Schizosaccharomyces pombe: one gene and its partner. The gene in region 1 interacts genetically with each later gene. Each region holds a gene or a part of one and is shown on either strand. Other genes may lie near its edges.

What was found.
Region 2: mutations in SPOM_SPAC29B12.11C (region 1) and pdk1 together harm fitness more than expected from each alone (negative genetic interaction), as found in Schizosaccharomyces pombe (one large-scale study listed by BioGRID).

The regions. Positions count from the first base shown.
Region 1 is NC_003424.3:5,435,335-5,439,410, reverse strand, and holds SPOM_SPAC29B12.11C (WW domain-binding protein), read left to right. Parts: upstream 1-2,158; 5' UTR 2,159-2,208; coding exon 2,209-2,733; 3' UTR 2,734-3,539; downstream 3,540-4,076. Other genes in the region: SPOM_SPAC29B12.13 (S-(hydroxymethyl)glutathione synthase), read right to left, coding at 1-362; hot13 (protein TIM chaperone), read right to left, coding at 858-1,199.
Region 2 is NC_003423.3:3,113,518-3,118,462, reverse strand, and holds pdk1 (serine/threonine protein kinase Ppk21/Pdk1), read left to right. Parts: upstream 1-1,953; 5' UTR 1,954-2,076; coding exon 2,077-2,280; exon of another isoform or gene 2,281-2,383; coding exon 2,384-2,620; intron 2,621-2,674; coding exon 2,675-2,784; intron 2,785-2,847; coding exon 2,848-3,018; intron 3,019-3,068; coding exon 3,069-4,002; 3' UTR 4,003-4,232; downstream 4,233-4,945. Other genes in the region: proteasome core particle subunit beta 1 Pre3, read right to left, coding at 1-244, 428-560, 613-695, 739-794; SPOM_SPBC1778.09 (GTPase-activating protein), read right to left, coding at 4,495-4,945.

The DNA of each region.
Region 1 (4,076 bases):
TTGGCAAAGTCATAACAATCTGGTTTGTCGTCTATACAAACTTGTGCGTCAAAAGTGATATTTTCTATTCCCTTGAAGAGCCAAGCATTTATAAAGTACGGATTCTTACCATTTGTATAAGCGAAATATAATGTAGTACCACAATTTTTACAGAAAATTCTTTCAGCAAATGAAGATGAAGCGTATTTACCTACATTCTCATTTTCAGAGACACTGGGTTTTTGAGTACAAGAAAATGCCATAAATGGACTGGAACACCATATTCTGCAAGTTTCACAATGACAACAACTAAGTTTAGGTTCTTCAATTATTGCCTTTAGGTGAATAGCTTTGCACAAACAGTTGCCTTCGTATTCAGGCATGATTTGTTGCTAAAATGTTCGTTGTAGTGGAAGGATTGAACGATCATCATATTTGACTATCCCGCATCTTTTATATCAAATTGTGTAGCTGAAGTGACAGGAATAATGTTCTTATGATTTCATGATTCGGATACCACATAACCGTGGCCATCCTAGATAGCAGTAAATGATTAAAACATAGAACATGTGGTTTGCATTGATGGCAGGTTTCTTTAATAATGTGATTGTTTTTACATTTTTTGGTTTATTAGAAGGTGGAATTGTATAAGCATTAAATTGCAATCTAGACAGTGAATCCTAGGTATATGATATGCCTCACGAATTTGATGGATGCTTTACAAAACCGAGTTACAAGCAAATTCCGTAGATTACAATATATTAAACAACCGCTAATATCGTGACAATATCTTCAACTGATGCGTGGGACAAAGCTAGCGTGGGTTTGACTCATAAAATAAAGCATATATAAAGACTATAAATCATGGGAACTTTGATTCAGGCGTCTTCAAAATAGTACCCGGCATGATTTTTACATTTAGGATTGAATGGATGATTACAGTATTTGCAATGAACAGTAGAACGGTATTCCTCTACTGTCAGTGAATTCTTGCAAGCTCCGCAAATTACACAAGGAATGTGAAACTTTGCTTTCCTCCAAGGTAAAAACGGATGTGTATTGAGTTCATCATGACATTGAAAACACGCATAAAACTTTTCACACTGTCCACATCTTAATGCCACGACGTCGGCTTTAGAATGATAATGAAAACAACGAGTTTCATTATCGACGAGTTTCCCATATACGTTAGTTGAAGAACGAGCCGTAGGAGTTTGCATAATTGCGAATAAGTTGATTTTAGCAACAGTTTTACATGTACAAGGGAAGTATTCGGAATGTTTATACCACAATTTGGAAAAGTGTTTGCTATGATTAGTTATATTTCAAAACAACCATTCGCATAAACGAATTGATATAATTCGAAAAGTGCTCTAAACGACAAATTTTGCTATACTTAAGTGGAAATGAAAGTGTTTTTTTATGACCACTACTACTAGTTCAAGTGAGTCAGTAACAAAAACTTTTTGGTTATTACGATCCCAAATTCTGCAAAGTAAGAGATAGATGGCTAAGAAGTTAGAAAGCTATGCAAGATATCAAAAACGAAATCATCAGTACTAAATCTTAAGTGAAATATGAACTATTAATGTTGGAAAAAAATCGACACCAGCAGGATTTGAACCTGCGCGCGGAGACCGCAACAGATTTCTAGTCTGTCCCTTTAACCACTCAGGCATAGTGTCTGATACTTCTATGGTTAATTAATGTTAATATAGTAAATAAAAAAATGAATATTGGGTTACAAGTTGTCATTCGACTAAAAACTCTTCAATTGAATATTTTATTTTAATTTTAATACAAACAATCTTAAATTTTCTCGTAAGAGAATTACTAAACCATATACCAGCTAGAATTTTTAATGATGTGAACTCGCTCTCAATTTCTATGCAAATTTGATTAATAGTGACATTACGGATAGTGTGCACTTATTATACCTACGAATTTGTATATTATATTGGCTTTATATGATTATTATCTTAAATTTTAATCCCATTAAGCACATACTAAAACCCTTCTATGTATAACGCAGGGCCTTATTTTACTTAACATACTATACTCTGCAACCCATTATCTAGGTATGTTTTACGTAAAATATGTAACAAAGAAAATGTTACCCTGAGACTACTGAAGAACTACCCTGGGAGATGCTTAAGACAACAAAAATTGCTGACTTCCCAATAACCAAATACTTTATAAAAGGTGAAATTGTGTTTCCGTAAAGAAAAAATGAGCATCAACTGGGTTACATATAAAGAAGGAAGTGAATCTGACATACTTCTCTTAGAAAATGAATGTATGTTTGATTGTTTTGATGGAGTCGCAATTTCGATACTGTGCAAACCTCCATCATTGAAATCTTGGACTTGCACAAAAGGTTTACTTTGCTTAACTAATCAACGACTGGTTTATATTGCAAAGGATACTGACTGTGACTTTAAGGATTTTCAATCCCCTGTTGCAAACTTGAAGGATACGAAACTTAATCAACCCTTTTTTGGAGCAAATTATTATTCTGGCACAGTAATGCCTGTGCCAAATGGTGGTATACCATGCGAAGCTGAGGTAAAATTACAGTTCAATGAAGGTGGCATCTTTAATTTTGTTGAAGCATGGAACCGTCTAATTCAAAGATTCCAAGAAGTTGACAGTGTATCTCGTGTACAACATTTAGATCCATTACCACCTTATCATCGTCCAAGCTCCAGTCAAGATCAACCTCCTCACTATGAGGAAGCGGTTAACAAATCGTAATTCCTTTTATCAACTGCAACTCGTTGTGTCCGTCCTTTTTATTTAATCCTTTGCATACCCCTTTTTTCCGCGACTTTGACTTTTTGTTTTCTCTTTTTTTTTTCAGACTTAGTGTGCATAACTCCCCGCGTCAATTACTGATTACTGATGATTTTTAACCCTCATAAACCAATTCATCTATTCCTTTGTTGGGGTTTGTACTCACTGGTCTACATTTATGATCGAAACATGTTTTCGATTACATGTACCATGTTTACGCATGATTTTCCTTGATGTCCACAAATTTATATATTCATTATCCATTGATGTGCTGTAATTATCATATATTCAAAAACTTTACTTTGCTTGACTTTTAAGGCTTTTAATGCAGAAATGTCAAAGTGATATTTCGTTGTAATGGTTTCCCTTTCTCATTAACCCTCTTGCAAATACCTATTATTGCTCTCTACTATATAAAATTGCAAGTTATACATTGGACGCGTTAATGGCTTTTTTTTGTTATTTTCACCCTTGTATCTTGCGCAATAGAGCATCTATGTTTAACAATTAAAAAAATGGGAACTATTTTCGAACTCGTTTCAGGCTAGATTTCCCTTATGTTTGTTGGTTTATAGTTTCCCGAGACAAATCTAACACAGTCTTCCGTCCTTGCTTTAAACTGTTGATCTTTTGCTGACATGGTTATATTTACAATTTTGCTGAGGCAAAAATACGAAACCCTTAATAAAAACGAGGTCAAGTACCTCTTCAAACATTATTTAATATTTGTCGGTATGAGATCCATAAATTTGATGATGAAATTATTTAAAATGAAATTTGTTTATTTATTTTAGTAGATCGTTTCCAGTGATCACCGATGAATAATCTTTACTTTTATTAAATAACACAAAAACCAGAAAACTTATATTAAAGTAAAAGATTCGGTTTATTTGTGTTATAGAGGGAATAAAAGGTTTACTGTATAAGAATTTACAGGTTAATTTGAATTTACACAAAGTAGTAAAAATGGTTCTGATGCTGCTTTGTTTTTCCGAATAACTGAGAAGGAAAAAAATTATTGCAATGTCTAAATTTAATCATTTGCGAATTATAATGCAAACAATAAGATATTTCTACGAAGCTACTAAAGGTTACTTCTATAGGTAGTATAAATTAATATTTGTACAGATTTTATTATTACCTTAAAATAGTCCCTTTTTTTTGTTATATCTATGAAATGAAAAAAGTACCTAACTGGATTTTGGTTTTTTTTTTATTTTCACTAGGCAAATTGATAGTAAAACTAACACAATGCAACATTAAAGAATCTTAGTATCGTTAATCAACAGTCAAAATAAATTGTC
Region 2 (4,945 bases), on another chromosome or scaffold:
GGTCATATTTTCGCGAAAGTTAGCATCGCAAAATCCATAAATAAAAGCAGAACCACTTCCTCCAATAGCTAAAGGTTGCTTATGCAAACTACCACCTAACGGAATACTGTAAACATCTCCCCCAGTTTTTTCATCATATCCAGCAACAATTAAACCTGCACTAAGCATATTTTTGTTTTGATAACACATTTCAGAAGCTAAAGTAGCAGCTGTATGAACACTAGGGTCATGGCCAAATTGAATACTTCATAATCGTTAGATAATTTTTTTAACAACAATAAAATGAAAAATAAAACATGCAAAAAGGCTTTAGTAATCATCTAGTAAACATAAGGACTTGAGAGTAAGTCGATAGTTTATTCTAAAGGATAAACCAGCTAAAGCAGCCTTAATTTACAGTCATTCGGTTCATTCAAGGGTAACTTACCGATACATGGAAAGATAGTATTTTAGAAGATCAGCCACAGTTTGCGTATCAGCAGCAGAACCACTGCGACAGCACCAAATATTGTCTGTCAGCTGAGTCAGCTTATCAGTGACACGATTTGCAATATATGCACCTAGCAACGTTAGAAATCAAAGAACGAAAAGTTCTGATATTCCAATACACACCCATAGTTGTTCGAGAATCTGCAGCAAGTATAACGCCATCTTTATAACGGAGCGCCGTGATGGTGGTACCCATACGAATTTCTCTACAAAGTCAGAACTTTCAAAATCAATTTCCCGCAATCATACCCCTTTTTAATAGCATTAATGTCAACATTCATAGTATCTTTCACAGTAGTGGCCATTTTCAGAAGTTTGGTGAAAGGTTAAAATGATTAGGGACTTGTGTATGGTATTGAGAAGCAGCCAAAATTTAGGTAACATTGCTACCTGCATATGAAATTGCAGTATGAATATAAAAAATTGTTATTCAATTGTAAAAAGTGTTGAAAGAATTCGTATATTTTTTAAGAAATTCTTTAACGACTATAGATAAGGGTATAGTATTAAAAATTTTTGATCAAAAGTTACAGCCGACTACAGAGTTATAACCATGGATTGAACTTGAAAGTGCTCAGCTAGAAATTAACATAGGAAAGAATGAAAGAATCTAAAAGTTTGGGACTAAAAAGGTTTCTGAAGATTTTGTTTTCTTAATATTTGACGACTGCTTATATTTGGTTTACTTACGCAAATAACATGAAAAAAACCATAGCTATTGAAGAATGAAAATAATATGACCATGATCTTTTAACAAAAAATGAAGATATTGGAAGTTCGACCTGGAATGATGTATATATATTTACGAGAATTTCTTACGACGGATCTTCTAAACTGTGAATTAGGTATCATGTTATGTTTCATTTCTAGCGAAGCAGAATTCCAAGCAATATTGAGGTGATAGGGGATGTTCCAAATTCTGTTAATCGCCAAATTAATTTTGGAATTAAGGCAAGAAGCATTTCATTAACTACAGTGTATTTTGCTTATTTTAGTAAGGCAGTATCCCAAAGACAACTGGCTTTCTAAAAATCTCTTTTGTTTAGGTGTCTGTTATTTCAACAATATGTACATATATATATTTATTTATAAACTATTTCAAACATATTCAAGCAATTTATTGCTTTTTAGAGCGAATATCGCCATGGATAGCTTAGCGTGAGCTTAAAACATTGAATTAAAAAAATTTTCATTGCCGTTCCAAATTGTATCGCTTTCGCTAATGCTATAAACACCCAAAGCAATTTTTTTGTACTACCATCTTCAGGTCATATCGAAGTATCATTAATGCGATGTAAGACTTTGATGGGTATGATAAGGCTATCAAGCTGCTTAATGAGCATTTTTTCTTTGACAATTCGACCTTTAATTTATTGTTTACATGGCATATTCTACGTTTTAAATTTATGTAATAATGACGAGGATTGGAGAAATAGGGTACTCTACTTAGTGTTTACATCCTTCACAGAACACAACTCCAAGGCCAGCAACTCCACAATTAAATGCACGGTGTTTCAGTTGGAATCGAACAGCAAACGTAAAGTAACTCAAACACAACTTCATTTTTCATGAAAACCTCTTTTATAAATGATGGATCTGGAGCATAAACGCATTAGCCGAAGTACATTGCCGGATTATGCGGATCCCGATTACTTCGAGGCTAGAGGTGAAAGAAATCCGGTAAAACCTCAGTCTTCCAACGTAGTACCAGGAACAAGTCATATAGGATCGATCAAATCTCCGGCGGATTACGTTTTTGGTGACATTATAGGAGATGGATCATTCTCAAAGGTAAGTTGATACATTGCTTCTCAGTTCAGAAGTTTTTCAACCGCAGGTCGATTAACCTATGGACCTTCGATTACTGACGAATAAGTTGTCTAATATTCGTTAGGTGAGAAGAGCAACTGATAAAAAGAGTTGGAAGGAGTACGCTATCAAAGTCCTTGATAAAAAATATATTGTCAAGGAAAATAAGGTTAAGTATGTGAATATAGAGAGAGATTCTATGATGAGACTTAATGGGTTTCCTGGTATCTCTCGTCTTTTCCATACATTTCAGGATGATTTAAAACTTTATTATGTGCTTGAACTTGCACCCAATGGTGAACTTTTGCAATACATCAAAAAGGTATATTTTTTCATTAGTCTATTCATTTTTCCTTTATTAACTAAGCTTTGGTAGTATCGTTTTCTTGATGAGAATTGTGTGCGCTTTTATGCTGCTGAGATTTTATCAAGTATCGAGTATATGCACTCCTGCGGTATAATTCACAGAGATCTCAAGCCAGAAAAGTATGTTTGAGTAGTGGTCATTAAATGTTCGTTTCCTTTTCCTAATTCTAACCTATTTTTTAGCATTTTATTTGATGGAAATATGCATGTAAAAATTACCGATTTCGGCACAGCCAAAATCCTACCCCCTAAATATGTAAATAGCCCTGATTACACTACCTTTCCAAGCTCCTTTGTTGGCACTGCGGAATATGTTGCTCCTGAACTATTGTCTAGACAAGTTGTTTCAAAATCGTAAGAAAACCTATTATCCCAGTCTATTTTTTTTCTGACAAATATTTAAGTTCCGATTTATGGGCTTTTGCGTGTGTTGTTTATCAAATGATTGTTGGTTCCCCTCCTTTTCATGGCAGCAATCCTAATAATATTTTCAAAAAGATAATGAGCCTGGAATATGAGCTTCCAAAGCTCTTACCACCTGATATCGTTCCTTTGTTTAGCCATCTTTTCCGTATTCAGCCATCTGATCGATCTACAACCCAACAAATAAAACAATTTCCTTTTTTTGCTACTATTACTTGGGACAATTTATGGACTCAAGATCCTCCTCCTATGCAGTCATTCCGGCCTAATTATAACATAGCCATTCCTAATGCTCCTGCTTATTATCGCTCAAATGTGACAGCCGCAGCTGCTGCTAATGCTGCCGCGGCATTTGCTTCTGCATCCATTGTAAAGCATCAGGAAACTGCTCGACGTCAGGAGCTTCCTACGGTAAATCGTTTCACTGCTCCAACTGCTCATTATGGCTATGCTTCACTTCGAAGCCATCAGATGCCTGTTGACAGACTTTATTACAAGTTGGTTCCATCGTCTGAGTCGATCATTGAATCTACCTCGGTCTTCGTATCACCCATTCCAAGTGTACCTGAGGGTAATAAGTTTCCATCTGGACTCTCAAAAATGTTTTTGAAAAGAAAGCAAAGGGTTATGCTATTAACTGATGTTGGTCGATGCGCTTTTGTTTGTAAAGGAAAACATGAGAGACTTTTTATCGAGATGGAGGTGAACTTGAAGGATTCCAGTGTTGTAGTGATTTTTGATGAAAATAGTTCCAAGCGATTCTTGATTGAAGATAAGGTCCAGTCCTGGATAATAGAAGACAGTTCCGGGGATGTCACCAAGTATAAAGACAAAATCCTTAAGTTTGCTGATGTTGCGTCTTCTCATCAATCTCGTTCTTCAGAAGAGAATGTAGAAGAGAACGAGGAAGAGTAACCCCATACCTTGTTTTATTTGATTTTTCAACCCATTTACTACCTTCTTTATATTTTATTATTTGTCGTCAGTGTTTTGGTAATATTTAACTATTTAAGCTATACATAATTAGAAATTACGACGCACCTAGGAAGTCGCAAGATGGAGAGGTATTATGTATACATATATATGTATAGTATTTATAATATATATACTTGAATTAATTTTATGTTAAAATTCCATTTCTTTTGGTGAGATGTTAAAATTATAATATTAGTAAGAAGAGAGAGTTAGATAGGATCGATTTAAAGCGCATACTCTTGATACCAATAAAAGTTTTGTGGTATCAAGGAAATAATGTTTATCAACGTTCCAAATTAAAACAGAAAAAGAAAATGATAAATGTTCAGGACCCATTATGCTAAGCTCTGTGATATCAATCCTCATCTTGTTGACATATGTTACATCATGTGGGCCACAATTAATAAAGCTATTAAAAAAGAGTTAGAAATATCAGTTTCTCTTACTTTTAGAAGAATTTTCAGAAGGCATTTTTTCCCAAAATAATTGAATTCTAGCAAGCAGGGCGTTATCGTTTTGAATGGGAATAACACCTGACAGAGCTTGCATTACTACTTCAAAGTCTGCATCAATTAGCGTGTCCCACATTCCTTGTATAACCGCAAGAGAAGTGGCTTGCAATAACCTGACAGTTTGACCTTTGCTTCCACCTAATAAAAACAGGAGATCCCATATACGTAATTGAGTATGGAAGGGCACGCATTGATGAAAAACAGTGAGATACCAACGTGTAGCAAAAGCAGATGGTTCTGCTCCAATTTCCGCCAGATGTCTGCCTGATTGTGTAAAACTTAACTCATGCTTAAGCATGTCAAAAGCCTTTAAAAGTGTATCAAACCCGGAAGAAAACAAGTCCCCCATGCCTCTATTTTCCAATAAATTT